Linked DNA regions of Anolis sagrei. The protein of the gene in region 2 purifies or fractionates together with the protein of the main gene of each other region. This does not show direct contact. Links are inferred from orthologs where the notes say so. Each region holds a gene or a part of one and is shown on either strand. Other genes may lie near its edges.

Region 1 (16,346 bases), on a different chromosome or scaffold from region 2:
TGTTTTGTAAGAGGGCAAAAATATTTTCCTGGTTTCAGGGGAAAGGATTGTGTTGTTTAATTTTTAGAAGAGACTGCATCCACTGGAGGTAGGAAGCTAAGCATCTGCTTGTGAGACTTTTTCATAAATATAAAGATATATTTTCTAGGTGCTGGTATTCTTGCATGTATTTAAATGTTCATTGAATGCCCAATGAATTCTCCCTATTCTGTTATTGCAGCTATATAGTCCATTGTTGCAGCTACTGGGAGGTAGTATGGTAAATAAAATAGAGTGCTTCCTGCTTTGGTGCCCTTTCAAGTATAGCAGAGGTTGCATTGATTGCAATGTACAGACACTACACTTGCATTGCAACATTTTGTAAACTAACACATTCCTTTGCTTTAACTGGCTTCACAGACTGCTGTAGTTAAGTTGGTTTTAAAGACCACTTACATGCTTTCATTGCAGATCAGCTGCTGAAAATTGTGAGCTTGATGGGTGCTGTCATCTGCAAGCAGTGAAACATCTTATGGGGCTTATTTTCATTGAGGACCATATCTTTCTTTCCTAAACAAGTTTAATTCATTTAATTGTGACTGAGATTTTAGAACATATATGGACAAACTTTGGCCCTCCAGGTGTTTTGGACTACAATTTCCACAATTCCTAACAGCCTATTGGATGTTAGGAATTGTGGGAGTTAAAGTCCAAAACACCTGGAGGGCCAAAGTTTGCCCATGCCTGTTTTAGAGGAATATGAGCAAATAATATGGTGCAATTTTTAAGAAGCTGATTTTATTTCAAACTCTCTTTCTGTGTGTGTTTAGGTTTGGGGACACATATATAAATGATACATTTTGCTAGGGCTCTTGTAAGACAAAGATGTTACTTGGGTACAGAGAAACCGCTGTTCAGAATTGCGTTTTTTGCACGGGGTTCCATAGTTACCACTTTAAGCAAACACAGGTCAGTTGAATTTAAAAATATCAATCCAGAGGTAGCCATGTTGGCAACACAGCAAAATATAGCCATGGTCTTCAAAAAACATATCATGGTTATACCATTATTAGGCCAACTAAAAGTTTTTCAAGGTCTCAGGTTCTTAATAAGGCATGGGTGTTAAAAGTCATTTTAGTGGAAGAGCCGTGACAAAAGGAGGCTACAAAGCTGCATCTTTGCTGGGATAGTAAAGCTGAAGATTGTTAACATCTTGGCACCATCTTTAGAACTCAGATTTAACATCTCATAAATGTTGCCCGTCTATGGCCCCCACCTTCATCCTCTTTATTCCTTTGCAACATTTAGCATTTGATGAAAGGCTGTGAGCTCTGAAAGGTAATTGTGTGCCTTTTGATCAGCCTAACCAAGGCATCTTGGCCGTGTTTTTTGGACTCTTCTAAATTTTAAAGAAAATTTTATTCACTCAGTGTGCCTTAGTCATACTTGGATTCAGACAGACTGTTGAAAATATTTTACATTCAGGGTTATACTTTATGAGAGTTGCCATTTGGATATCAAACAACTTTGTCCCAAAGGCAGCCTGTTTTATTAGCTGTAAAGAGAAAGGGTATAAATTATAGTTTTCCCATATGTGTGTGTGTGTGCGTGCGTAAATGTGTGTGTTTATCAGTATGCGTGTACATTCACACACACATATATGGAGAAAAGTGTAATATACATTCACATACACACTGTTCAGATTTTTTGTGTGTGTGTGAATGTCAACAGGTCATACAACAGATTGTGCATACAGATGCTGCTCTGGTCAGCTTTGAGTCAAGCAAGAGCAGTGCCATCTAGTGGGAAATATCTAGAACAGTTAATATTTAAAAAGGAAAACACAACACAATTTATTATTTTTACTATGATCTACTATAGATTGTGCTGCCAAAAATGAGTGGGAGAGATTTTCATATTTAGTCGGGTCTAGTGCTCACCTTCTTTGGCAAAATTGCATCACTAAAATTCAGGTGCACATTAATTCGATGGTGCATTAGAATCGCAGAGCTAAACCGATCTGCGCTGTTAGGTAAGAGATCCCAGCTTGGGATAGACGGTGGCTGTGAAAAGCCTGGTGGGAAGGCCAGACAGTGAGGTGTGGCTTCCCACCAGACTTTTCCAGGCCACTACCTGCATCCTACCAGGCTGGACATAGGGACATGGCTTCACCGTCTCCACCATCTCGCATTACATTCACCAGCAAATCCTTTTTTTTTTTTTGTAAAGCACAGCTTCAAAACTGAGGTGCCCATTATTCGATGGCACATTATACTCAAGTAAATATGGGTACATCAAACTGTTCTAAATTATAATGCAGTACAAGCCTTTTGCTCCCCAGTTTATAAAGCACTGCATTGGAATGAGTGCAAATCTTTAAATCTAGCACATTATTTTATCTTGTGCCACAACTGCAGTGCATTTACGACTTGCACTGGGTATAAGGGAGGGCTGACTAGGGATAGAGAAAGTGTGCATGGATCTTCTACTGATCCTCATGGCTTTCTCACTATGTTCTGTGTTCAGGCAATTGAAAAACCAGGTTGTACTGTATGTTATTGAGATTCTTGGCACATAAGTAGACATAGTTGTTTCCCCTTTATTAAAGTATCACAGGATGTTCCCTGAAAATGAAGATACCAAGGTAATAGAATCATGGAATTGGAAGAAACCTCTTGGGCCATCCAGTCCAAACCCCTGTCAAGAAGCAGAAAAATCTCATTCAAAGCACCTCTGACAGATGGCCATCCAACCTGTTTAAAAGCCTCCAAAGAAGGAGCCTCCACCACACTCCGGGGCAGAGAGTTCCACTGCTGAATAGCTCTCACAGTTAGGAAGTTCTTCCTAATGTTCAGGCAGAATCTCCTTTCCTGTAGTTTGAAGCCATTGTTCTGCGTCCTAGTCTCCAGGGCAGCAGTCCTTTGCCCTCGGCATGATTCCAATCTGTCTTTTGGAAATGTCACAATTCAGGTAGCCCTAACCTGCGTCATGTGTTTGAAGTGGTCATTTGAAGTTTCTGTACTGTAAATATACTAGTGATTATGTTGTGGGGCCCTCATTGCCTTACATGTTTTCCCTTGCTAATAGCCATTGCTTTGCTATGTTTTTTCTCCTTCAGAGAGCATCATTATCCACCAGTTACGCATGAACACAAGATGAAACACTGGCCACTCCATTCTGGACTTAAAAACTTCCTTCTCTGCGCTGCTTGGTTGGATCATTTCCGAAGCTCCACTTCTGCCACTGTCCTCTTCCATGCTACTGATGATGTATGGAAGGAATTTACTTCTTCTGTCACAATCTGAGGGGTTTTGTGCAGATTTTAATTGTTTGTTTTGTTTTTTTTTTTTAAAAAGAAAAATGTGTTTGCTGATTTTTTAAAAACGAGATGGAAAAGGAATTACATCTTCTGTGCCAGTTTTGCTCTAACTCTGAATTCATTGGCACCTGCTTGATTTTTGTTTGAAGTTTCCTACATAATTTATTTTTATAATACACTTTGTGATGCAGTGTTTTTTTGTTATGTATTTCCCTCCAACTTTGATTTTTGTTGTTTGTGGCACGTTCATTTGTAGAATAACACTGTCAAAACTGCCATTGCCTGTGTGGAGTCTATGAAAATGTTGACTTGACCTCAAAGATGGCACTTTTTCGAGGAAACTTGCCACAAGGTTACCTAGCCATAATATGACTGTGAGATTAGTTGCCCTGAGGACTGCTTTGTGAGGATAGTTTTATAGTGGGGTTTTGCCTCTTGCACTGTGCGATGGTTTAATATAAAACCGAATACCAACAAACCAAAGCCTTGAAACTGTGTTAGATGCTGAGGTCTATTAAAACAATGCTCATATATTGTGTGCTTTTACATACACCTATACCAAAAAAAGTTCATTTTTATCACATTGTAACAAATAAATTTTCACAAGTGTGCAACACTGCTATGGTGTCTCAGTTGTACCCTTGTGATAGAAGACAGTTAAGACCTTATTGGCAGTTCAATAAGATTTAGGGGTGAGGGGGTATTTTTTTTCTTCGTGTCAGAAGCAACTTGAGAAACTGCAAGTCGCTTCTGATGTGATAGAATTGGCCATCTGCAAGGACGTTGCCCAGGGGTGACCTGCTTATTGATGTTGTATCATCTTGTGGGAAGCTTTTCTCATCTACCCGCAGGAGAAGCTAGATCTCGACAGCAGGGAGCTTATCCCGCTCCTCAGATTCAAACCGCCTGTCAGTCGACCAGTTTTTGCTGGCACAAGGGTTTAACCCATTGTGCCACTGGGGGCTCCTGGAATGGGGGAGCTGATTCCTTGTGAGTCAAGTATTGACTCAATATAGTTCAGTCTTATGCAGAGTTTAATACACCTAAGGTGATTTATTTCTCTAAACCGAGGAACATTTGTCAACATCAGTTCATGCTGTAGGTTGGGCGGCTATGATAAACTCCACATTGCTATATGCAAGAAGGGGAAAATGGAAGGAAAAAGGAAGAGGGGCCGACCAAGGACAAGATGGATGGATAGTATCCTTGAAGTGACTGGCTTGACCTTGAAGGAGCTGGGGGTGGCCAAGGCCAACAGGGAGCTCTGGCGTGGGCTGGTCCATGAGATCACAAAGAGTCAGAAGCAACTGAACGAGTAAACAACAACAATATGCAAGAAGGCATACAAACCTAACACTGTGTACCTATAGAAGAAATGTCAGGTCTGAAATGAGCAATGCAGCAGTGATGGCAGTGGCTGGGATCCAAAGATGTTTGCATAGGAGACTAAATTGGTTTTGCACATATATCAATATTCTGTCTTCTTGCTACAGTAAATGACTTCCCTGAAGGTCTCTTAACCCTTGATAGTTTTTTAAAAAAATAAGGATGGACATGTGGAATGAAACATGCACAACTCTCAGGACTTCAGTCCATTTTTATTTGTTCATTGTCATTCAAGTTAGTGCAAGAACGTCTAGTCCCTTAGTTCCCAACACGGTGCATATACCCCACAGTGGGGAAATTTGATTTTTAAGGGGGGCAATTTGAGAATGAGTTATTAACAGGATTTTTTTTTGCATTTCTTACAGTTCTTGGGGCCTCATATAAAGTATATAAATACATATTGTAACATAAAAGGTAAAGGTTTCCCCTTGACATTCAGTCTAGTCATGTCCGACTCTGGGGTGTGGTGCTAATCTCCATTTCTAAGCTGAAGAGCCAGAGTTGTCCGTAGACACCTCCAAGGTCATGTGGCATGAAGCACCTTCCCACAGAAGTGGTACCTATTGATCTACTCACATCTGCATGTTTTTGAACTTCGAGGTTGGCAGAAGTTGGGGCTAACAGTGGGATCTGACCCAGCTCCCCAGATTCGAACCGCCGACCTTTCAGACAGCAAGTTCAGCAGCTCAGTGGTTTAACCCACTGCGCCAGTGGGGGCTCCATACTGTAACATATTCATTTTAAAAATTAAAATCAGAATTTACATGGCAATCAGCTGGTGACAATGGAGAAGGGGAGAGTCCACTCATAGAGTGTTGAGAGCATGGAGTTAACTAGACAGCAGAAGAGCACAGAAAAGCACAATTATTACTTTCATAGGTAAGTCAGTATTTTTGTATAATTTAAAAAAAAATTCAGGCGCAAGAAAATTAACATCTAGTGAGAGCATATTCTTGTATTTTCTCACCAAATACATGCAATGAAATTGGACACTTAAAAGTTTCCCTGAATTCTCAATTCAATTTGTTCTTCTATTTTTCTCTTTCATGGATGCCATGTTCTTTGGAAGCTTGTTTAGAGCAAGTTAATGGCCTTTCAGGCTTCCTCCAAGGTCACAGGGGTTCGCTTTTTACATAATAAGAATTATGTGTCACCGGGGGGGGGGGGGGGGTGGTGATCAGGATTTTAGAGATGCTTAGGTGTAACATGGTAAAAAAAGGGGTTGGGAACCACTGGTCTAGACACTCTCTACTGGTGTTTTGCTTGCAGCTATGGCTGGCATCCTCAGAGCATATTTATTTATTTATTTAGGCTCGGAGAGGTTTACAATATACACATGTGATACATTACATATAAAATCAAGAAGAACTTCGATCAGCAAAATTCAAATGCCGCCCTAAAGAAATATTTGCCTGTATATGGCCTCCAGCTACAACAGCTACACGGCCATAGCATGTACTCGAGCTGAGAGTACTTCAACGGCCTAGCTGCCCGACCATAGCAACACCTATTGAATGACTCCTTGTGTCTTAATTGTATTACATCAAAACTAGAATGAAGTCCAAAGAAAATAGTGCACACATCTGAAACAATTATATCTTGTAAGCCTCTCTGAGTCCTGAGTCCCCTTCGGGGTGAGAAGGGTGGCATATAAATGTAGTAAATAAATAAATAAATAAGCAGCAGGACATGATACCCAAGCAAGAGCTGTCTACAACTATAGTAGCTACTGATGGGTGATCTCTCAGCTACCCCTCCTACCAGTCACTACATGGCTGTGAGGCAGCATAGGAAAAACTGACCAATTTTCAGAGATTCTTACACTGAGGAGAAACATACTTAAAGTCTTGTCAAAAGTATTGTTGAAGGCTTTCATGGCCGGAATCACTGGGGTGTTGTAGGTTTTTTCGGGCTTTGTGGCCATGGTCTAGAGGCATTCTCTCCTGACATTTCGCCTGCATCTATGGCAAGCATCCTCAGAGGTAGTGAGGTCTGTTGGAACTAGAAAAAATGGGTTTATATACATACTTAAAGTCCTTTTCTCCTTTATGGGAACCACAAACTTAAAGAAATACATTTCTAGTTGGTAGCTGCCACAGGATATTAGGCACGGATTGCAGTCACAAGCCATAGCAACGCATGCTCCTTTTTTTTGGATGTCTTTCCCTTGCATTTTCTGACCTGCATGATAAAGACAGGATCTTCAGCTTTTGGAGTTGTTTGTCCCATCTCAGCCCACGGGCAACAGCCACAGTGGATGATATTCCTTCTTATAGATTTGTGCTTCGAGGCTGATGAGCCCTGAGGGGCATGCAAGTACCGCTTTGGAAAGGGTGCACATGCGGGCCTCTTTCCACTGCCAAGAGAAGCATTTTGCCCTCAAGGGCTTGCATAATGTCACAGTGAATCGAATACCTGCCTAATTATGGTTCAGAGAAACCAGCATCTTCCCATCCAACAGAAATGATCAAAGGCTTGGAAACCAAGCCCTATGAGCAACGGCTGAGGGAGTTGGGTATGTTTAGCTTGAAGAAAAGCAAGGCTGAGAGGGGACATGATAGCCATGTCTAAATATTGAGGAAGGACAGTCTTGTTTTCTGATGCTCTGGAGATCAGGACACAGAGCAGTGGATTCAAATTGCAGAAAAAGTGACTCCACTTAAACATTAGGAAGAACTTCCTGTTGGTAAGAGCTGTTTGGCAGTAGAATATGCTGCCTTGGAGCTTGGTGGAGTCTTTCTCAGGAGGTTGTTAAGCAGAGCCTGGGTGGTCATCTGTTGGGAATGATTGTGTATTCCTGCGTGGTTGAATGAAGTTGGATGGGTGGCCCATGTGCTGTCTTGCAACTCTGTAGTTCTATGAACCTGTGAACCACAAGGTGGTTTCCACTTATAATGGCTACATTATGACACATGCAAAATAGTTGCGACTAGCATTGCACCAATCTTTGAAAGAAGATTGAAGGCTTTGAAAGGGTGCTTACATATTTAAACAGATTTTTAATTATTTTAATTGTTTTAAATCTTTATGGTACTATTCCATCTATTGATTCTTAATACTCTTACGTTTAATTCTATTTTAATGTTTACCATTATGTCTTTTCGGTTTTAGATTGTACATTTTAATGATATTTTTTATCATTGTTAATCTCTTTTAAGAGAGAAAAAGTGGGATATAAATGATAAATAAATGACAACAATCAAGATAAATAATAATAAAGACAAGCAACAATAATATAAACAAAAATACCTAAAATATAAAAATACAGATTATTTAAGAAGGGGTTTAATATTTTAATAATTAATAATTAACAATAATAACCATTGATGTTATTGTTTTTAGATATTTTAACTCTCTGGTATTTAATGCAGACGTTTACCAATTGTTATGTTATTTTAAGGCATTGAATAGTTGCCAATATGTGAGGCTGCTCTGAGTCCCCCTCGGGGTTGAGAAGGGCAGGGTACAAATCTATATAAATAAAAATGTAATGTTCGTTTTTGGTATTCACAGAACTCAAAAACCACTGGACGAATTGACACCAAATTTGGACGCAAGACATCTAACAACCCAATGTATGTCCTTCACTCAAAAAAAATTGATTTTGTCATTTGGGAGTTGTAGTTGCTGGGATTTATAGTTCATCCACAATCAAAGAGCACTCTGAACTCCACCAACGATGGAGTTGAACCAAACATGGCACACAAGACTCCCATGACCAACAGAAAACACTAGAAGGGTTTGGTGGGTATTGACCTTGAGTATTGGAGATGTAGTTCACCTACATCCAGAGAGCACTGTGGACTCAAACAGTGATGGATCTGGACCAAACTTGGCACGAATATTCCATATGCCCAAATATGAACACAGATGGAGTTTGGGGGAAATAGACCTTGACATTCGGGAGTTGTAGTTACTGGGATTTATATTTCACCTACAATCAAAGAGCATTCTGAACCCTACCAACGACAGATTTGGGGGAAACTTCCCACATAAGAACCCCCATGTCCAACAGAAAATACTTAAGTCCATCCAGTCCAACTCCCTTCACCAGGGCAAGAAAAAGTAATCAAAGCCCTCCTGACAAAGAGCCATCCAGCCATAGATATTGATAGATATGATTCACACACACAGAGATATAGTATCATAGATTTGAAAGGGACCCCTAAAGATTGACAATTATATGTTGCATGTTCCAGAGTAGGCAAACCAGACCCTCTCCACATCAACAATGACAAAGAAACAGCAAGAAATACTGATTACCCACAATGAGAACACTTTCGCATTACTTTATTTTCCAGATCACCAGACTGGGCCACAGTAACGTGTGGCTGGGGATGGCTAGTATGATAAATAAATAAATACATAAATAAATATATTTTAGGGCTGGGCTAAGATTTAAGGTCTAAGGCAACAGAGCGGTTTAACCCACTGCGTATATTTTAAGTTGTGATGTTTTTGATGGTGAGCCACTTTGAGTCTCTGTATGGAGAGATAAAGCAGGATATACATAAATAAAAAACCCTAATAATAATAATAATAATAATAATAATAATAATATCTTTATTGTATCCCGCTTTTCTTCCACCAAGGGACCCAAAGCGGCTTCCAACATCTTAAAACAGTACAAATCCAAGAAAAACGCATATAACGCCTAAATACCAAACCATAAAACAGCGCAGAAATAAGATTTTAAAACAATAATCCAGTGGTTCTCAACCTTGGGTCCCCAGATGTTTTTGGCCTACAACTCTCAGAAATCCCAGCCAGTTTACCAGCTGTTAGGATTTCTGGGAATTGTAGGCCAAAAACATCTGGGGACCCCAGGTTGAGAACCACTGCAATAATCAATAAATCTTAGCCGTGTTCAATTAAAATACGAATTCATCTCCAATTTTTTTCATATGAGGAGCGACTTGAGAAACTGTAAGTCGCTTCTGGTGTGAGAGAATTGTCCGTCTGCAAGGACGTTACCCGGATGTTTTGATGTTTGTGGGAGGCTTCTCTCGGGTCTCGCCTCCTTCCCAGTGCGCATGCGCGCAAGTGGCCCCGAGCGAATCCTCCTCCGAACGCCGCAGGGCGGGGTGAGCGAGGAGGAGTGGAACGTATCCTAGCGGCGAGCTAAGTAATAAAAGGAGACGACGCAGGGTCCTGGCAGCGTACTGCGCCTGCGCACGGCGTCGAGGGCTATGTGGGAGGTGTTGAGGAGCCCGGAAGGAGGGGAGGGCTGCTGCTGTTGCTGCTGTTTGGGCGTTGTTGGCGCAGGCGCAGTCGCGGCCCTTATACAGCGCGGCGCGCGCGGCGGGTGGCCAGTGTCAGTTGTCGCCGTTGCTGGCGGCGCTTCCTGTTCCGCCTCTCGCGCGGCCCTCCTCCCCCTCCCCCGCCTCCATGGCTATGAACTACAACGCGAAGGAGGAGGCGGCGGCGGCGGCAGCGGACGGGCACCCGTCGGGGATGGCTTCCATGCCCGGGGGGAGCGGCGGCGGCGGCGGGGGCTTGGGCGGCGCGGCCCGGTCCTCGGTGGGCGCCGCCAAGAGCCGCAAGCCGGACAACACGGCCTTCAAGCAGCAGCGCCTCCCGGCCTGGCAGCCCATCCTCACGGCCGGCACCGTCCTGCCCGCCTTCTTCGTCATCGGCCTCATCTTCATCCCCATCGGCATCGGCATCTTCGTCACCTCCAACAACATCCGCGAGTATGAGGTAAACAGCTCCCTGCCCGCGTCGCCCCTTGCTCGGCTCTGACGTTTGGTCCGCCACCTTGTTTGGACTTCAACTCCCAGAAGCCCCGGCTGGCTTGGCCAACGGCCAGGGACTCTGGGAGATAATAATAAGAATAATGAACCTTATTTCTACCCCGCCACCATCTCCCCAAGAGACTTGGAGCGGCTTACATGAGGCCAAGCCCAACAACACATCAATAAACCAAAAGCAATAAATACAATACAATTAATATAAATCACATATAATAATAATAATAATATTTATTTATTTATTTGATCAGCCATATGACCATTTCAAAATAGAACACGAGTAAAAAACAAGACAAATAAATACTAAATCACATATAAACAATAACACATAAGGATTTAAATACCTGTGGCCAGGTCAAATGTAAGAGTTAAAAAATTAAAAAAATAAGCGCTGGGCATGAACGAGGTAGGATATATCTGGTATAGGGTTTTAAAAGAGATGAGGGAGCGCAGTCAATCCTAAAGTGCACCCTGAGGACATATTTCTGGGAATTTTCCTTATTCTGGGAAGGCACACTGGAACAGCCACGTTTTCAGGCTCCTCCTAAAGACTGCCAATGTTAGGGCATGCCTGATGTCCTTGGGAAGTGAGTTCCAGATTCGGAGGGCCACCACCGAGAAGGCCCTCTCCCTTGTCCTCACCAATCGCGCCTGCGAAGGAGGCAGGGGTGCGAACAGGGCCTCTCCAGATGATCAAAGAGATTGTGTGGGTTCATACAAAGAAATGCGATGAAGTCCAACAGCTCTGGAAGGCCAAGGGTAAGAAAACCCTACATCATCGCTACTGTTAGCCACCTTCTCAGCCTCAGGTCCTTTCTTTTTTCTTCTGAGCTACTTAAGCCAAATTCCCAACCAGAGCACCATTCCACTTTCACTTATTGCACTCATAAATTATCTGAACACTTGGTCCCATATCCAAGTTTTCAGTTTTCCCCTTAAAAGAAAAGAGAGTTTTTCCCCTAAAGGAGAGAGGGGGCTAATATGATGTTACTAGGAAGGGAGTTACACAACCAAGGGGCTACCACTGAGAAGGCCCTGTCTCTCATGCCCAACAACTGCACCTACGGGGGAGGAGGGACCGAGAGCAGGACCTCCCCAGAGGATCTTAAGCTCTGAGATGGTTCATAGAGAGAGATATGTACATCAGAGCCCCTCCCCCAGCAACAATATAATATTATATAATAATATTATGAATGATGTATTAGTACTATACTAATAATATAGTATGTTGTATGTACATATGACTTGTAAGCCACTCTGAGTCCCCTTCGGGGTGAGAAGGGTGGCATATAAATGTCGTAAATAAATAAATAGGTAAGCTGGACCAAAACCATTTAGGGCTTTATAGGCTAAAGCAGTAGTTCTCAACCAATAGGTCCCAAGGTGTTTTGGCCTACAACTCCCAGAAATCCAAGCCAATTTACCAGCTGTTGGGATTTCTGGGAGTTGAAGGCCACAACATCTGGGGACCCATAGGTTGAGAACCACTGGTCTAAGGCCTCACTAAACTACAAAGCCCAGAATTCTGCAAAAGGCAGCAACAAAATTTCAAGTAGGGTGCACACGCTCTACCTCCCCAAACTAAGGTCCACGGCTGGATGTGACCCTCCAAGGTAATTTACTCAGCTCCCAGCCTTAGCATGACCCTAAATCTGAAACAACTGGAAGGCACTCAACAACAATGATCTTAATTAACTTGACTATCTCATCAGCTAGAAGCAGGCCCACACTTTCCATTGAAATACTGCCAATATGTGTTTGGGCTTGGCCCCATGTAAGCCGCCCTGGGTCCCTTCGGGGGGATGGAGGCGGGGTATAAAAATAAAGTTTTTCTTCGTTTTAAATATTTTATTGTCCTTTTTTTACACTACAAATAAAATAGTTCAGTGTGTATAGGAATTATTTCATGTTTTCTTCAAGTTTGAGGATCTCTGCTCAATACCTACTCATTAAAGTGTATCTCAGTAATGATGAGAAGATGAAAAATATACCCTTGAGTGCACCTATACTGACACCACTTGGACAGCCATAGCTCTATTCTATGGGATACTGGGAGTTGTAGTTTGGAGAAACAACAGGATTATTTGCCAGGGAAGGCCAAAGATCTTTGAAAGTACATCTTCCATAGCATTGAGGTGTGGCAGTGAAAGTGGTGTCAAACTGTGTCAATTCAATAGTGTAAGTGCACCTAGATTGTTGCTACTCTCCTCCACCATCTCTCTCCCCCTCCCCCCCCCCTTTCCAGGACTAAAAGCAACAAGTGAACAAGGACAAAGGGTGCCTCTACACTATAAAATGAATGCAGTTTGACACCACTTGAACTCAATGCTGTAATGTTCTGGGATTTGTAGATTAGTAAAGCGGCAGCAGCATATGGCCGAAGAGACTAAAGACCTTGTAAAACTACAGCTCTCATTCTATATAATTGTACCATGACAGTTAAAGTGCTGCCTTAGTCCAATCCTATGGAATTTAGGGATTTGTGGTTTTTCGACACTCTTTCGGCAAGGAGGCTAAAATCCTTGCAAAACAACAACTCTCATGACTCCATAGCAGAAGTGTGTTAAACTGCATTCATTCTAGAGTGTAGGTATGCCTTAAATGTTGTCATGGCAGTTAAATTGGAATCATAGCACTATGACCATGTAAGAGCCAAGTTGTCTTGAGAGGTGAGGCAAGCAGGCCTTAGCAAGTCCCAGACTTCTCTTGAGATAGAAAGAAGGCGATGGCCTGACCTAACTGGTTTTTTTTTGGTTGGCATTATTAAGAAACCCTTTGAACTGATTAATGGCCATGGAGGTGACACAGAGCTTAGTGACGGTGTTAGGAAGGAGATCAGTATTTTGAGGAAATGGAAAATGATGGCACACCCTGCTCACTGTTGCTTTGCTGTGACTTGTGCGAGGTCCAGATCCGCTTGAAAACAATAGCTCCTTTGGGATTATTGAATAGTACCTAGAAATACCAGTCAGTATGATCGGTTAGCTGTGCTGTTTGGAAGAATCTGGGAATTGTTGTTCCACCCAGATAACTTTTCCAAGTTTTGATCCAGGTAAAGGAATGTATCACATATAGGCCTAAATATTGTTGTTAGTCATGGCTAGAGTAGATACATCTGTGTTGACTCACAATTCAGCAATAGCTTGAATAGGTTCTATTTAGACTTAACCAACAGGATACCGGCCATGTTGTTACATATTTGCATGACAGTCATGACTGCACATATAGAGATTAATGTTACCTGTATCTGATGGATGCATTTATGTATAAGATTTACTTAAGATACTTGCAGAACTTTGTGAATAGCTCACATCTTGTACAAATCAGATCTTTTTTAATCAGCTGTTTCCTACGGTTTTTTCACTGATATGAGAAATGTAATGATGAATGGACATAGAAAATGGGGGAAATAGTGTTTGTATGTAAAGCACTCATTGATAAATTACTAAACTGCTAGCGAATAGAGTTCATTACAACATTCATATTCTGTTGGTTTTTCATATTATGGTATGTATTGTAAGTTGAAATGCGTTTCCTTGTGGAAAGAAAAAAATGGGGTATAAATAAACAACAACAACAATAATTAACCCTCCATTAGGCCTCTTCAACCTGCAGCCTTCCAGGTATTTGGACCACTAACTCCCAGAAACCCTTGCCAGCTTATTCAATGGTCGGAAATTCTGGTTGCTGATGTCCAAAATACCTGCAAGGCTGCAGGTTGAAGATTTCTGCCCTGTAAGTCTAGAAAATCAACCAAAAAAAACCTGGGACAACTTATCTATAGGTCACTATCATAACTTATCTTAACTATTTTTTAAAAAGGAATTATTTCCCTGTCTGAATAGCGTGGCAGAATACAAGAGCTTAGCCTGTCCTGGAAGAACCTAAAAAGGACACTGCTGTGACTCTGCTTCTGGCATTTTCAAATGCATGGGTGAGGAAATGTCAGGGATGGCCCCCTGAGGTATGTCGGCCACTTTTCTCTCTCTGTGGAACAACCTTCAAATTATTCATGGGTCAAATAGAACGCCATAATTTGGTCCCCAAAACCCTCCCCGAGTATATATAATAATTAAAAGATGAATTCAAAACTTCATCCCTTTTTTGAGTTGAGAGTATTCATAAAGCCCCCCCCCCCTCCCAATGACCATATTTGATGCAATACTGGCTTATGACACTGACATTCTGTGCCTTTCTCTCCTCCTGACCTGTTTGTACATTTGAGAATTCTAGTTACATGGTATTAAACAGGATAAAAAAGCTAAGATTATAGGAGATTAACATTTACAGCCTTTTATGACCTTGATTTCTGAAGCAGTTGATGAATGTTGGAATATGTAATGATGCAGACTTTGATGGAGAGCCATATTATAGGGAAATATGTTGTGATGGATCTAGTTATTCTTGATATGGAGTTAATTGTTGAGGAAGACATTATGATGAAACTAGTTACTGTAAGTCCCCATTGGACTTATACAACATTGGGATCTTTATTATTCACAACTAACAGTGAATAATAAATATCCCAATGTATGAATGTTTAGAATTCTGATCTGGTAAGCATCAAGCTATCAAAGATTCAGGATATAAGACAAAGTAAAGTGTATGTTAAGTTTGCAGGAAATACGGGAAATAAATAAAGTTGAGAGTAGGAGGAAGAGAAACAGTAAGTTTAAAAAGGATAGAAAAATATTAGTAAATTGGTAGAGTGGGGGTATGAAGTATTCAATTTGTGACATTGGACAATAGGCTTGATTAGGCAGAAGCTTAAAAGGCCATGTTCTGGAGGAACAGAAAGCTTAGTTGATTGAGTAAAAACAATAGTAGGAAAAACTGTGCTTTAGATACAATAGTTGAAACTTAGAGGTAAGGTGCAAATAAGGGCTATGTGAGATCAAGGTTCATTGAAGATCACTTTTAATTGCTTTCATTCAGAAAACTGAATCAATTAAGAAATAGTTGAACTTAGGTTGACCACTACTTCAAAAATTATCTTTCTCTACGTGAGAAGGAAGAGGGCCCCCCAACTCTGTTTTGTGGATTTTGAATACATGATACATTAGAATTATTAATCTTACTTTTGTCCTATAGATAATTGAAACTGTTCAAGTGTTTCTGCTGTTTTTGCTAATACTGTCTAGCAGCCTTTGTCTTCCTTTGTGTTCAGAAAAATGGACATGGAAATATTCAGAGTTGCAGGGGACACACATTTCTCATAGGTCTATGCAATCTGAAGGGTATTGATATAGACAAATAGACTGTCTTTCTAGATATGCATATTCATTACACTTTTTTTGCTCATATTCTGGGTGTGCTATATTTTTTGTGTTACAATGGTTAGGAAAGTAATTACAACCAAGAAATGTAAGAATAATGTTGACAGAAAACTGGTTATACAGAAAACTGGCTATACATAGTAATCTTAAATAATCCTCTAATAGTTTTGTGAGTATTAAATTGACAGCAGATTGTTAAATTATCTCATGGAGAAAGTCAGTTCTCCTCAGTAAGCTTACATCCAAGTTTTGATGGGCTACTGGTTTTGATGATATGTTTGTCTTCAGCATTTCCCTGCATAACGTAGCTATACTACAAGAGTTCTATTTTTGGAATTGTGAAGGTGACTTGAAATGTAAGAAGTATTCAGGAAAGGGAACTAGGGTTCTTAAAGCCAAATCTGGTATGTCAGTAGAATTGTGAATGGCAGCTTGGAGATACTTCTTCTATTGTCCTTTAGAATATGACCCAAGTTGGTGGGTATGCTTTCAAGTACCTTGAAGATTGATATTTTTCAATGATGGGATGAGAAAGTGGACTTAATCCAATACAGGGTAGGGATGGTGATAAAACATCTGCTTGACTGTGACTACAACTATATGAAGTGGCTTGTTGAGCTAGGTGCTGTGTGCCAG
Region 2 (15,765 bases):
CAACGACGTTTGGAGACAAATGGCTTTGATCCACAGGACTCTAAACCACACACAGAAAGTCCAACTTGGAACTTCCAACACCACAAATGCCTCAATATCAACATTCACAAAAGGCTGTAGAACAACGGCAAAAGCAAGCAAACAATTATTGATCTGGTGAGCTTTGTGGAACAAACAGAAAGCAACAACGTTTGGAGACAAATGGTTTTGATTCATAGGACTTGAAACCACACACAGAATGTCCAACTTTGAACTTCCAACATCACAAATGCCTCAACATCAACATTCACAAAAGGCAATAGAACAACAGTAGAAATAAGACAACCATTATTGATCTGGTAATCTTTGTGGAACAATCGGAAAACAACAATGTTTGGAGACAAATGGTTTTGATCCACAAGACTCAAAAACACACACAGAAAGTCCAATTTTGAACTTCCAACACCACAAATGTCTCAACGTCAACATTCGCAAAAGGCAGTAGAACAACGGCAAAAGCAACAGAACAATTATTGATCTGGTGAGAGCTTTGTGGAACAATCGGAAAGCAACGACGTTTGGAGACAAATGGCTTTGATCCACAGGACTCAAAACCATGCACACAAAGTCCAACTTTGAACTTCCAACACCACAAATGCCTCAACATCAGCATTCACAAAAGGCAAAAGCAAGAGAACAATTATTGATCTGGTGAGCTTTGTGGAGCAAACGGAAATCAACAATGTTTGGAGACAATTGGAATCAAAACCACAAACTTCAAGGCCAACTTTGAACTTCCAACATGTGTTGGAGATGGTGGAGATCCCATCCACAAGTAAGGATGTCCGTCCCTTCTACAAACAGGTCTTCCCAACTGTTCTAAGGAAAACTTGGAAACTTATACTCCAAAGCAGCTTTTCACCAGTAGCTCCAACAAAATGTTCTCTCTCAGAGACGCCACCAACGTGCACAAACTCCAGAATTCTCCACTATATGCTGGAATTGCGTTAGACCTTCAGGGATTCCGTAGCAGGCGAGCCAAAATGGAATGTGTTCCCCAAAAAAGTAATAAAACGTGAACATATGTAACCATAACCACCCCATAAACCGACAAAAACGTACGGAATCAGATTCACAGGCCATCCCATCGGACACGTCGTCTCCGGCGAAAGAGGATTCAAAAGAATACGCCAGAACTCTTAAGTTATTTTTTTTGCCGTGACCTACTTAACTCAACTAGTTTGAGATTGGCCAATTTTTCTAAGCAGTGAGTTTATATGCCTTCTCGCGCGCACACATCTCTGCATCTCCGGTATGGAAAAAGTTTCTCACAAACCAAGAAATTAGGAAGGATTTCTTTTTCCTTCTCCATCCAAACAGCTTGGGTGGGAGTGGCGATACGTTAAAAATAGTTCTCATGTTTCAGGAGGGACGCATCTATCATTGGAAACAGAATGGACCCTGCAGTGTCCGATCAGGAGGGTTTCCACACAAAGACCTTGAAGTTGTGTTCCAAGTCTTGATATCTTAGGTAAGTTGACATTCCTTTTTCCTTCCTCTCTAACTCCTTTTGAACTTGGGTGGGACTGCTGACTGGAAAATCCTTCCAAGATCTCTCTATAGTCCCCTGATATTTCACACCCTCCTACTATGGAAATCTTGCCTTTGGCGGTTGGCAATACTGTTAGCTGTCATTTTTGCACCATCTATATCAGAGGTCCTCAAACTTTTTAAACTGGGGGCCAGTTCACTGTCCCTCAGACCGTTGGAGGGCCAGACTATAGTTTTTTAAAAAAAAATCAATAAAAAAATTCCTCTGCACATTGTACATATCTTATTTGGCTGTGTGGAAGGACCCTTAGAGGGAGGGGGTTCTTTCTCGCCCTCTTTAGGCAGTAATTCCAGGAGCAGAGAATGGGAAATCTTCCTATTTCTAGTCTGAACAAAATCTGGCTACCAGTATTTAAAAAACTCTAAAATTATAACTGTAAATAAAGAACAACACTCAAACACAGGGGAACTCCAGACAAGAAACAATCAGGGCCAGCTAATCACCTCTCAAGAAAGGATTCTCCCTAAAAACTGTCAGGCTATGAAATGGTAATCAAGGTGGACAATTGAAACATTCATGCCTACCTCCAACAGACAAGAGTTCTTTCTCCCACCCTGGATCTTCCACAATTTTCCTAGTTAAAGGTTTTCCTCTGACATGAAGTCCAGTCGTGTCTGACTCTGGGGTGTGGTGCTCATCTGCATTTCTAAGTCGAAGAGCTGGCGTTGTCCGTAGACACCTCCAAGGTCATGTGGCCGGCATGACTGCATGGAGCGCCGGGGCAGCCTCTCTTGGCTAGCTCATGCTGCCCATTGGGCCTGACAGATAGCGTGAGCCTGCCAAGGGAGGAGCAGCCCTGCGCGGCCTACTCGCGCGTAAAGCATCTTGCGAAGTGCTTTACGCGCGAGTAGGCCGCGCGGAGCAGCTGCCCTTGGCTGGCTCACGCTGCCCATCGGGCCTGATGGATAGCGTGAGCCAGCCAAGGGAGGGGCACTGTGTGGGGGGGGGCACTCCTCCTCCGCAGGCTGGATAAGTGGCTTTGGTGGGCCGGAAGTGGCCCGCGGGCCGTAGTTTGGGGACCCCTGATCTATATAAATAAAAATGTAATGTTCGTTTGTGGGATTAACTTAACCCAAAATCCACTGGATGAACTGACACCAAATTTGGACAGAAGACACCTATCAAGCCAACGAGTGTCCCTCTCTCTATATATAAATGCTCTATGCGTAATGAGTACCTTAAGAACAAAAGGACCAATGAACGAAATCACACCAAATTTGGCAACAAAAGGTCTCACAACACAAAGAGTGACCATCACTCAAAAAAAAAATGATTTTGTCATTTGGGAGTTGAAGTTGCTGGGATTTATAGTTCACTTATAATCAGAGAGCATTCTGAACTCCACCAATGATGGAATTGAACCAAACTTAGCACACAGAACTCCCATGACGAACAGAAAACACTAGAAGGGTGGGCATTGACCTTGAGTTTGGGAGTTGTAGTTCACCCACATCCAGAGAGCACTGTGGACTCAAACAATGATGTATCTGGACCAAACTTGGCACGAATATTCCATATTGCCCAAATATGAACACAGATGGAGTTTAAGGGAAATAGACCTTGACATTTGGTATTTGTACTTACTGGGATTTATAGTTCAGCTATAATCAAAGAGCATTCTGAACTCCACCAATGATGGAATTGAACCAAACTTGGCACACAGGACAAAAGAGAGAAAGAAGGAGGGAGGGAGGGAGGGAGGGAGGGAGGGAGGGAAGGAAGGAAAGAGAGAAGGAAGAATGGAACCAAAGAGCAAAGGAAGGAAGGAAAGAAACAGGTAGAGAAGGAAGAAAGAAAAAGGGAAAGAAGAAGGAAAAGAAAAAGAGGGAAGGAAGGAAGGAAGGAAGGAAGGAAGGAAAGAGGGAGGGAGGGAGGAAGGAAGGAAAGAAGGAAGGAAGGAAGGGGAGAAGGAACAAAAGAGAAAGAGGGAGGGAGGGAAGGAAGGAGAGAACGAAGGAAGAAGAGAAGGAACAAAAGAGAGAAAGGGGTAGGTAGGTAGGTAGGTAGGTAGGTAGGTAGGGAAGGAAAGAAGGAAGGAAGGAAGGAAGGAAGGAAGGAAGGAAGGAAGGAAGGAAGGAACCAAAGAGCAAAGGAAGGAAGGAAAGAAACAGATAGAGAAGGAAGAAAGAAAAAGGGAAAGAAGAAGGAAAAGAAAAATAGGGAAGGGAGGGAGGGAGGGAAGGAGAGAAGGAACAAAAGAGAGAGAGAGGGAGGGAGGGAAGGAAGGAGAGAAGGAAAGATGGAACCAAAGAGCAAAGGAAGGAAGGAAAGAAACAGGTAGAGAATAAAGAAAGAAAAAGGAAAAGAAAAAGAGGGAAGGAAGGAAAGAGGGAGGGAAGGAAGGAGAGAATGAAAGGCAAGAAAGAGGGAGGGAAGGTTTGGCCACAGTTACTCATAAAAACACTGAAAAACACAGCGGAATAGACTTAAAAAGCCAAAAAAAAATTACAACGCATGCGCATAACCACATAAACACACATATACACAAATATATAAATACACACATATACACATATATATACACACACAAAACACATCTCTACAGACTGGGCCATACAACGTGTGGCAGGGGAGGGCTAGTAATATATATAATTCAACAGAACAAAAAGAAGGCAGCAAACTTGACGGTTAGGAATTGTGAGAGTTGGAGTCCTAAACACCTGGAGGGACCAAGTTTGCCCAGGTCTGCACTAAACTATGTCAGCCTAAAACTCTCAAAAGGGGTTTACATTCATATACAAGTACAAGTTTCATATGGACCGCAGGCACGTGGGGCAGAGATTAGTATCTACTTTCTGTTGAGAGCTTCAGATGCCAAAGTTGGATGGTTCAATGCCAGGTGATTCCTCATCTCCAGGCCACTTACAGAAGATTGCTTTTCTCCTTGCTGGGAAACTGGCTTCTTGTCCATATCTGATAAGGATCTAGAACATGGGTTGGAGATGATAGGGTGGTTAAAGTTCCTCTTTTGGGGTGCAAAGGCACCCCTCCAAACCACCTGGCCGATCCCAGAACAGAGGCAGAGGAGAAAGGTCCCAGCATCAGAGGCGTTGGCATGGCAACTGCCCAGCCTGGGTACCAACTGCCATGGAATGCAAAGACAACCAAGGCTGGGTTTCTTCCTTGAAGAAGAGCAGGCCGGATAAACAGATGACAGATAAGATAGATAGAGACAGACAGACAGACAGACAGACAGATCAGAGGTCTGAAGGATCCAATGAATAAATGGATGGATGGTTGGACGGACAGACAGATATGAGAGAGAGAGAGAGAGAGAGAGAGAGAGAGACTGACTGACTGACCAGGGGTCTGAAGAATTCAATAGATGCATGCATGGATGTTCGGTGACAGACAGATGATAGATAGATAGATAGATAGATAGATAGATAGATAGATAGATAGCCAAATTGACTGACTGACCAGGGGTCTGAAGAATTCAATAGATGCATGGATGGATGGTTAGACAGACAGATAGATGATTGATTGATTGGCAGACAGACAGACAGACAGACAGACAGACTGACTGACTGACTGACTGACTGACCAGGCGTCTGAAGAATTCAATAGATGCATGGATGGATGGTTGGACAGACAGACAGATGATTTATTGATTAATTGATTGATTGATTGATTGATAGGCAGACAGACAGACAGATTGACTGACTGACCAGGGGTCTGAAGAATTCAATAGATGCATGGATGGATGGTTGGACAGACAGACAGATAGACAGATGGACAAATTATAGATAGATAGATAGATAGATAGATAGATAGATAGATAGACAGATTGACTGACTGACTGACTGACCGACCGACCGACCGACCGACCGACCAGGGGTCTGAAGAATCCAATAGATGGATAGATGGATGGACAGACGGATGATCAATGATCGATGATAGGTGGATGGATGGACGGACTGACCAGACAGACTGACAGACTGACCAGTATCTGAAGAATCAAACAGACAGACAGACAGACAGATAGATAGACAGACAGATTGACTGACTGACTGACCAGGGGACTGAAGAATCTAATAGATGAATGGATGGATGAATAGATGATAGATCGATAGATGGATGGAAGGATGGACAGATTATAGATAGATAGATAGATAAGATAGATAGACAGAGAGACAGACAGACAGATTGACTGTCTGACCAGGGGTCTGAAGAATTTAATAGATGCATAGATGGATGGATGGACAGACAGATTGACCAGACAGACAGACTGACTGACCAGGTGTCTGAAGAATCCAATGGATGAATGGAAGGATGGACAGATTAAAGATAGATAGATAGAGGGGGGGGGGGAGGGAGAGACAGACAGACAGACAGACAGACAGATTGACTGACTGACCAGGGGTCCGAAGAATCCAATGGATGGATGGATGGATGGATGGATGGACGGACAAACGGATATTCAATGATCAAGGATGGATGGATGGGTGGACAGATGGACTGACCAGACAGACAGACAGACAGACAGACTGACCAGGTGTCTGAAGAATCCAATGGATGAACTGAAGGATGGACAGATTATAGATAGATAGATAGATAGATAGATAGATAGATAGATAGACTGACTGACTGTCGTCTGAAGAATCTAATAGATGCATGGATGGATGGACAGACAGAAGATCAATGATGGATGGACGGACGGACGGACAGGTCGCAGGATCGAATCCGGGAAGAGGCGGATGAGCTCCCTCTGTCAGCTCCAGCTCCTCATGTGGGGACGTAGGAGAAGCCTCCCACAAGGATGGTAAAAACATCAAAACATCTGGGCATCCCCTGGGCAACGTCCTTGCAGACAGCCATTTCTCTCACACCAAAAGCGACTTGCAGTTTCTCAAGTCACTCCTGACATGACAAAAAAAAAAAAGGACTGGAAAAAATGGATTTTGGACTTCACTCATTTCCCACATTGGCTCGAAACCTTGAGCACAATGTAAATATATATATCAACATGGATTTCAAAGGTTGCACAATGGTCACCGTGGTCACTTGAGTTCGCCGGTTACACAACGGTGAAATAGCTGCCCTTTTGCTCCATCAAATGGCGAAACAAAGGACATTACCTCTAACATTAAGTTGCACTAAAGCTAATAGGAAACCTGGTCTTTTCTGGATCTCCAGAATGGATATTAGAATCCTGTTTCTAACTAAAATCACTTTTTTTTGCTCGTGCACTGAGCTTGGCATCCTCTTTCCAAAGTTGGAAAGGGGTTTCAATGAGCTGCCATTTTTTAAAAAACTTTTCCTTTCGGTTGTATGGTAAACCAACATTCATAAATCAACCGTGTGGATGTACTCTTTATTCCTTCACTAAATTCAAAGAAGTTGAAATTTAATCTGCATTTCAATTATTATTCCACAGATAATATAAACCCCACTTGCCTAGTTTCCAATGGACCTCACAACCTCTGAGGATGCCTGCCATAGATGTGGGGAAAATGTCAGGAGAGAATGCTTCTGGATCATAGCCAGACAGCCTGGAAAACTCACAGCAACCCAGTTATTCCAGCCATGAAAGCTTCGACAAACTCACAGCAAACCAATTGTTGTTATTGTCATAGATGTTGGCAAAACGTCAGGAGAGAATGCTTCTGGAACATGGCCAGACAGCCTGCAAAACTCACAGTAACCCAGTCATTCCAGCCATGAAAGCTTCGACAACCTCACAGCAAACCAATTGTTATTGCCATAGATGTTGGCAAAATGTCAGGAGAGAATGCTTCTGTAACATGGCCGGACAGTCTGGAAAACTCACAGCAGCCCAGTCATTCCAGCCATGAAAGCTTCGACAAACTCACAGCAAACCAATTGTTGTTATTGTTGTTGTGATAAGATTTCAACTTTTCTCTTAAAGGAGACTCAAAGCCACAACAAAGCAAAACTCAACGACACTTCTCACAAACGCTGGTTTGTGCCAAAGCTGCAACTCACCAAATTTGGGTTGAAAATAGCCATTAATTGTAACTTGCTAATATAATAAAACATGAAGCAAAGTATCAGGAGAAGGGAAGCAAATTCTAAAACTTTACAGCGAAAAAGGGAGAAAACGGGATATTTTACGTAACACATTGAACACACAGCAACAAAGCCTTTTTTCTTGGCACTCTCCAAGCCTATTCTCTTTGGAATCCAAAGCAAATATGTTTTTCCCATTCATGGCATGTTGAAACAACACTTTTGTGAGTTGCTTAAGTGTGTTCGAGATAGAACGACTTTATCCGAACTGACATTCCGCCTTAACTACTTCATTCCTTTTATCAGTTTCTGTTTTTCCGAAACAGATTGTTCTCCCTTTGCATTCTTTTTGCAGAGATAACAAGCAAAATGCCATTCTCTTGCAAGGAGAACCGGCTCTATCTATTTGCTCTCTTCTCTTACCAGGCCAGACCACAATTTCAGGACACTTTCCGGGGATAAGGCAAATTCCATGTTATTTTTCCGTCTAAAACAGACGACGTTCTTCCATGTCCCCAAAGCACGAATTTAAGGAAATAAAAATGGCGTTGACGGCTGTCTCTTTTTTTGGCAGCTGAGCAAAAAGAGAAGGGAAAGTTGCTTTTGTAGACAAGCTGGGCAAAGATCAGCTTGCCTTAGATCCAATTTCAGAGGAGGAGGAGCCCGAAAGGCCAAAAACCTGATGGGCCTTAAAGGGTGCAGCTCTTGCATGAGTTTAGCTGGGAGCAAGTTCTGCAATAGTCAATAGGACTCCCTGCTTTGAAATATGCACCAAGTTCTGCACAAGTTCTACACTTAGATGAAGGGCTAGAAGGCATGATCATTAAGTTTGCAGACGACACCAAATTGGAAGAGATAGCCAATAGTCCAGAGGACAGGAGCAGAATTCAAAACGATCTTGACAGATTAGAAAGATGGGCCAAAACTAACAAAATGAAGTTCAACAGTGACAAATGCAAGATACTCCACTTTGGCAGAAAAAATGAAATGCAAAGATACAGAATGGGTGATGCCTGGCTCGAGAGCAGTACGTGTGAAAAAGATCTTGGAGTCCTCGTGGACAACAAGTTAAACATGAGCCAACAATGTGATGTGGCGGCAAAAAAAGCCAATGGGATTTTGGCCTGCATCAATAGGAGCATAGTGTCTAGATCTAGGGAAGTAATGCTACCCCTCTATTCTGCTTTGGTTAGGCCACATCTGGAATATTGTGTCCAATTCTGGGCGCCACAATTCAAGAGAGATATTGACAAGCTGGAATGTGTCCAGAGGAGGGCGACTAAAATGATCAAGGATCTGGAGAACAAGCCCTATGAGGAGCGGCTTAAGGAACTGGGCATGTTTAGCCTGAAGAAGAGAAGGCTGAGAGGAGATATGATAGCCATGTATAAATATGTGAGAGGAAGCCACAGGGAGGAGGGAGCAAGCTTGTTTTCTGCTTCCTTGGAGACTAGGACGCGGAACAATGGCTTCAAACTACAAGAGAGGAAATTCCATCTGAACATTAGGAAGAACTTCCTGACTGTGAGAGCCGTTCAGCAGTGGAACTCTCTGCCCCAGAGTGTGGTGGAGGCTCCTTCTTTGGAAGCTTTTAAGCAGAGGCTGGATGGCCATTTGTCAGGGGTGATTTGAATGCAATATTCCTGCTTCTTGGCAGGAGGTTGGACTGGATGGCCCATGAGGTCTCTTCCAACTCTTTGATTCTATGATTCTAATAGTCAATAGGACTCCCTGCTTTGAAATATGCACCAAGTTCTGCACAAGTCAATGGGAGTTAAGTTCTTGTGGGTTTTTTTCGGGCTATAGGGCCATGTTCTAGAGGCATTTCTCCTGACGTTTCGCCTGCATCTATGGCAAGCATCCTCAGAGGTGGGAGTTCTTGCCTCTTAGGGTGAAACGCCTAACAATACTTGCAAAAGCGATGCGAAGCACATCTGGATGTGTAATTGGCAACCGTTCTGTGCCAAAACCCACAATTCAGTTTAATGGCTGCATTGTGTGTGCGTGTGGCATTTGCAGAAGCATACGGGAAGCTCGGCCTATCATTAAACATCGAGAAAACCAAAGTGCTCTTCCATCAGTCACCAGGCAATCCCTCTCCAATGCCAGAAATACAGCTTAATGGTGTAACATTAGAAAATGTTGACCATTTCCGCTCCCTTGGCAGCCACCTCTCCACCAAAGTCAGTATCGACACTGAAATACAACACCACCTGAGCTCTGCAAGTGCAGCATTTTCCCGAATGAAGCAGAGAATGTTTGAGGACTGGGACATCCGTAGGGAGTCCAAGCTGCTTGTTTATAAAGCGATTGTCCTCCCAACCCTGCTATATGCCTGCGAAACGTGGACTGTCTACAGACGTCACATGCAACTCCTGGAACAATTCCATCAGCGCTCCCTCCGGAAAATCCTGCAAATCTCTTGGGAAGACAAGAGAAGACCTCTCCAACAAAGTCAACATCGACACTGAAATACAACACCACCTGAGCTCTGCGAGCGGTCGGATATACGGGACTCCACTGTATTTTCAACAAGTTTGAGCAAAACACTGTGCATTTCATGCTGTACTATTTTTCACTGCTTTTCCTTTTGCCTTGTGATGGATGTCTAGTGTTGTTTTAAATATTAGCAAAAGTTTACAAACATTTCAATGGCAATCGTTGCTATGTTTAGTCTTTGTTTCAAATGGCAAACAGTTTCCGGAGAAAGCTGAGATGTAAATAAAGTGAATAACTATTGTATACTAGGCTTGGGTAACAACGGAAAAATTTGTTTCTAAACTCGTGTTTCCTTTTTTTAAAGAATTCCGAATTTTTTCTTTAAAAAAGTTCGAAATTTATGAAATTTCGTAAATTTCGAATCGATTCGTTAATGACGGACGCGATTGCGCAATATGCTAAAAAAACCTCCAAATGGGACAGGGAGAACTTCTGAAGCTTCCTCTCCCTCTGTTGTTGACTGTTGGTGTGAGAAAACAAACAACAACGATATTATATTATATTATTATATATTATATTATATTATAATATTATTATATTATATATTATTATATTATATTATTATAATATTATTATATTATATTATTATAATATTATTATATTATATTATTGTATATTATATTATTATATATTATATATTATATATTATTACATTATATTATATATTATATTATATATTATTATATTATATTATTATAATATATTGTATTACATATTATATATTATTATATTATATTACGAAAATAATGACGAAATAATTACGAAAATTGGAAAAATTGTTTCGATTCTTAATTACTCCTCACACTATTTCAAAATGGCTCAATATCGGATCGTAAGCTAATTTAAATATGAATTAATAACGAATTACGAAATTAACGAACGAAACCGCCCAAGCCTATTGTATACATATCAAAATGTGAATATTGCATTTAATTACAGTTAAGACATCAACAGTTTTAAATACCTGCAGGCATGAAAAGTTAGGTGGCAGGTCAGGTCAGGCAGCAGCTATTCTACCATTTATTCTACCAAATAAAATGGATATAAGATGTGGCGGCAAAAAAGCCAATGGGATTTTGGCCTGCATCAATAGGAGCATAGTGTCTAGATCTAGGGAAGTCATGCTCCCCATGCTCTATTCCGCCTTGGTTAGACCACACATGGAATATTGTGTCTAATTCTGGGCACCACAATTCAAGAGAGATATTGACAAGCTCGAATGTGTCCTGAGGAGGGTGACTAAAACGATCAAGGGTCTGGAGAACAAGCCCTATGAGGAGTGGCTTAAGGAGCTGGGCATGTTTAGCCTGAAGAAGAGAAGGCTGAGATTAGATACGATAGCCATGTAAAAATATGTGAGAGGAAGCCACAGGGAGGAGGAGGGAGCAAGCTTGTTTTCTGCTTCCTTGGAGACTAGGACACAGAACAATGGCTTCAAACTATAAGAGAGGAGATTCCATTAGAACATGAGGAAGAACTTCCTGACTGTGAGAGCCGTTCAGCAGTGGAACTCTCTGCCCCGAAGTGTGGTGGAGGCTCCTTCTTTGGAAGCTTTTAAACAGAGGCTGGATGGCCATCTGTCAGAATGGGGTTGGACTGGATGGCCCATGAGGTCTCTTCCAACTCTTTGATTCTATGATTCTTTGGTTCCGCCCCTTGTTCACGGCTCTGGGAGGGAAAGGAGCCATTTTTGGGGTAGTCTCACACAAGGTAGCTAAGCTATAGGATGTAGACCAGCTCGTCCCATAGAAAAGCTTCCTTTCTCATTAACATCCAGGGATACAGAAGCAGAAATTCCAGGGGAAAGGTCCCAAAAACTCTGGCCGAGAGCTTGCAGCCTCTCAGCCTCACAGCATCAGAGGGAACAGCCCTGAAGTTTTCTAAGAATTCTCGAAGGGAGAATAGCATTACAGATCCACGGAACTCCAGTTGAAATATCTTCAAGTCTCGACTGGTAGGTCTACGCGCTACCCAGATACATTTGGAATCGGTAGTAGGTCCCACACCGATGAGGCATAGATAGTAAACAGCCTAGGTGAGGTTAAAAAGGGTTCTTTTCTTACAGAGAAAGTACAGTTATTCAAAGTCAGGTACCAGTCCATTGAGGACTAGACTAAGAAAGTCTTGAAGTGTTATTTGAACCTTTGAAGATTTGGTGTTTGTTCCATAATAAAGACTTTGTTGTATCATTAAAGACTCTAAAGACCATCACTTCAGAAAAATCCCTGAGAATCTCTCTTCGAGGCCCCCGGCTTCCCGCTGTGCTTAAAGTATACGTCCTATAGAAAAGTACAGCTGTTACAGGCCCAGCGCGCGACAGAACACTCAACACTCTTGGTAGATAAAAGGACAGAGCTTGTACAACTACAACTCTGTGTAATAAGGTTAACACTTGGTTGTTTCACTGGCACAACAACAATAACACAGAGGGAAGATTGCTTATTTTCCTAACACCTTTTATTGATTTTATGAGAGCTGGATGCAATTTAATACTATCAACAAAGCCTTAGTGCCGTATTAAGATTAATTCAGATTTATGGTTGTTTGCTGAAAATCTTTATCTTAGCTCTTATAATCATTGATTTTTTTATTACGGTATATGATCATACTGCTGTGGCTGTTCTTTCCAATTATGACACATATTGCTCTCGAGCCAGGCGTCCCCCATTCTGTATCTTTGCATATCAGGTTTTTTTTCTGCCTAAGTGGAGTATCTTGCATTTGTCCCTGTTGAACTTCATTTTGTTAGTTTTGGCCTATCTGTTTTGGCCCAGGCGTTCCCCATACTATATCTTTGCATTTCAATTTTTTTCTGCCTAAGTGGAGTATCTTGCATTTGTCCCTGCTGAACATCATTTTGTTAGTTTTGGCCCATCTGTTTTGGCCCAGGCGTCCCCCATTCTGTATCTTTGCATTTCAATTATTTTTCTGAATAAGTGGAGTATCTTGCATTTGTCCCTGCTGAACTTCATTTTGTTAGTTTTGGCCCATCTGTTTTGGCCCAGGCGTCCCCCATTCTGTATCTTTGCATTTTAGGGTTTTTTTCTGCCTAAGTGGAGTATCTTGCATTTGTCCCTGTTTAACTTCATTTTCTTAGTTTTGGCCAATCTCTCTAATCTGTTCAGATCATTTTGAATTCTCCTCCTCCATGTCTTGCCTTTTTCCATTATCGGGAATGGAGAGAGTTGGGGAGCGCTCCTTTAATTGAAGGAGAAATGCTGGAGAAAAAGGGGGCGCTGGATCAGAGCGTTGGATAAGACGGAATGTCGGATAAGCGAAGGTCGGATACGCGAGCCTCCACTGTATTTCCAACAAGTTTGGGCAAAACGCTGTGCGTTTCATGCTGTACTTTTTTTTTCACTGCTTTTCCTTTTGCCTTGTGATGGATGTCTAGTGTTGTTTTAAATATTAGCAAAAGTTTACAAACATTTCAATGGCAATCGTTGCTATGTTTAGTCTTTGTTTCAAATGGCAAACAGCCTTGTTTCCGGAGAAAGCTGAGATGTAAATAAAGTGAATGAACTATTGTATACATATCAAAATGTGAATATTGCATTTAATTACAGTTTAGACACCAACAGTTTTAGATACCCGCAGGCATGAAAAGTTAGGTGGCATGGTTAGGCAGCAGCTATTCTACCACAAATAAAATAAAATGGATGTAAGACCTGTTTTGCAATCTAATATCTTCAGGAAGAGAGCCAGCATGATTTGAGTCTTGGATTATGACCAGGAGAGGAAGGTAATAAATAAAAATTCTTATTCTTATTCTTATTCTTCTTATTATTCTTGCAGCGGTCTGCAAACACTTAGAAACAAATGCGGTCATCGCTAACAGTCAACATGGATTTATCAAAAACAAGTCATGCCAGACTAATCTGATCTCTTTCTTCGATAGAGCTACAAGCTGGGTAGATGCGGGGAATGCCGTGGATGTAGCATACCTGGATTTCAGTGAGGCCTTTGACAAAGTTCCCCATGACCTTCTGGCAAGGAAACTAGTCCAATGTGGGCTAGGCAAAACGACAGTGAGGTGGATCTGGAATTGGTTAAGTGGACGAACACAGAGAGTGCTCACCAATGCTTCCTCTTCATCTTGGAAAGAAGTGACAAGTGGAGTGCTGCAGGGTTCCGACCTGGGCCCGGTCCTGTTCAACATCTTTGTTAATGACTTAGATGAAGGGCTAGAAGGCAGGATCATCAAGTTTGCAGACGACACCAAATTGGGAGGGATAGCCAATACTCCAGAGGACAGGAGCAGGATTCAAAACGATCTTGACAGATTAGAGAAATGGGCCAAAACTAACAAAATGAAGTTCAACAGGGACAAATGCAAGATACTCCACTTTGGCAGAAAAAATGAAATGAAAAGATACAGAATGGGGGACAATGCCTGGCTCGAGAGCAGTACGTGTGAAAAAGATCTTGGAGTCCTCGTGGACAACAAGTTAAACATGAGCCAACAATGTGATGTGGTGGCAAAAAAAGCCAATGGGATTTTGGCCTGCATCAATAGGAGCATAGTGTCTAGATCTAAGGAAGTAATGCTACCCCTCTATTCTGCTTTGGTTAGACCACATCTGGAATATTGTGTCCAATTCTGGGCACCACAATTCAAGAGAGATATTGACAAGCTGGAATGTGTCCAGAGGAGGGCGACTAAAATGATCAAGGGTCTGGAGAACAAGCCCTATGAGGAGCGGCTTAGGGAACTGGGCATGTTTAGCCTGAAGAAGAGAAGGCTGAGAGGAGATATGATAGCCATGTATAAATATGTGAGAGGAAGCCACAGGGAGGAGGGAGCAAGCTTGTTTTCTGCTTCCTTGGAGACTAGGACGCGGAACAATGGCTTCAAACTACAAGAGAGGAGATTCCATCTGAACATTAGGAAGAACTTCCTGACTGTGAGAGCCGTTCAGCAGTGGAACTCTCTGGAGATGTGGTGGAGACTCCTTCTTTGGAGGCTTTTAAGCAGAGGCTGGATGGCCATTGGTCAGGGGTGATTTGAATGCAATATTCCTGCTTCTTGGAAGAATGGGGTTGGACTGGATGGCCCATGAGGTCTCTTCCAGCTCTTTGATTCTATGATTCTATGATTATTATTTTGTCACTGCTATGAACCATAATATAAATATCGGCTATGCAGGATGTGCTCACTGGACCAAGTTTGGTATAAATACCTGATATGCCCAAGTTTGAATACTGGTGGGTTTGGGGGGGATTGGTTTTGCCATTTGGTGTGGGATGGTCAAGAGTGTTATTCTATACATGATCCCTGCTATTTCAGTGTTGCAATGATGACAAATTCCCAATCAAAACTGACCGCTCCGATGCTAAGCCTGGTTATAAAATAAGCCAAAGGATTTGGTCAAGCTGAACGAGGCCCACTTCCCCTACTTACTATATTAACAGCTGCGCATCGTCCGACTCCTATCATGACCTTTCCCGCTGCCTTTATTTGTGGCCTGGAATGCACGATAAAGCTAGCCGCTGGTAATTTGAGAGCCGGAGAACTATTGTGCGAAATGCCTTGCGAATAAACAAGAACAAGGCCTTTGAGATTGTCCCTAATTCAAAGGAGAACCCGAATCCTTCTTTAAGACTTGAGTTAGTTTAACCCAGGGAAAGCCACATTAAGCTGGCCTAAGTCGTCAGTGTGCCGTCACACCCAGATCCTATAAAATTAAAACTAAGATGTGCTTCTC

Evidence for each region.
Region 1: the proteins of ATP11C (region 2) and TMEM30A purify together in Homo sapiens (co-immunoprecipitation; 4 studies listed by BioGRID and IntAct, with this or other methods). This does not show direct contact. The link is inferred for Anolis sagrei from reciprocal best matches to the Homo sapiens genes ATP11C and TMEM30A.

The regions. Positions count from the first base shown.
Region 1 is NC_090021.1:110,950,449-110,966,794, forward strand, and holds the start of TMEM30A (cell cycle control protein 50A), read left to right. Parts: upstream 1-9,918; 5' UTR 9,919-10,072; coding exon 10,073-10,384; intron 10,385-16,346. UniProt on the Homo sapiens protein: Accessory component of a P4-ATPase flippase complex which catalyzes the hydrolysis of ATP coupled to the transport of aminophospholipids from the outer to the inner leaflet of various membranes and ensures the maintenance of asymmetric distribution of phospholipids.
Region 2 is NC_090030.1:26,808,530-26,824,294, forward strand, and holds the start of ATP11C (phospholipid-transporting ATPase IG), read right to left. Parts: upstream 8,173-15,765; 5' UTR 8,036-8,172; coding exon 7,985-8,035; intron 1,138-7,984; exon of another isoform or gene 1,123-1,137; coding exon of another isoform or gene 1,102-1,122; intron 1-1,101. UniProt on the Homo sapiens protein: Catalytic component of a P4-ATPase flippase complex which catalyzes the hydrolysis of ATP coupled to the transport of aminophospholipids, phosphatidylserines (PS) and phosphatidylethanolamines (PE), from the outer to the inner leaflet of the plasma membrane.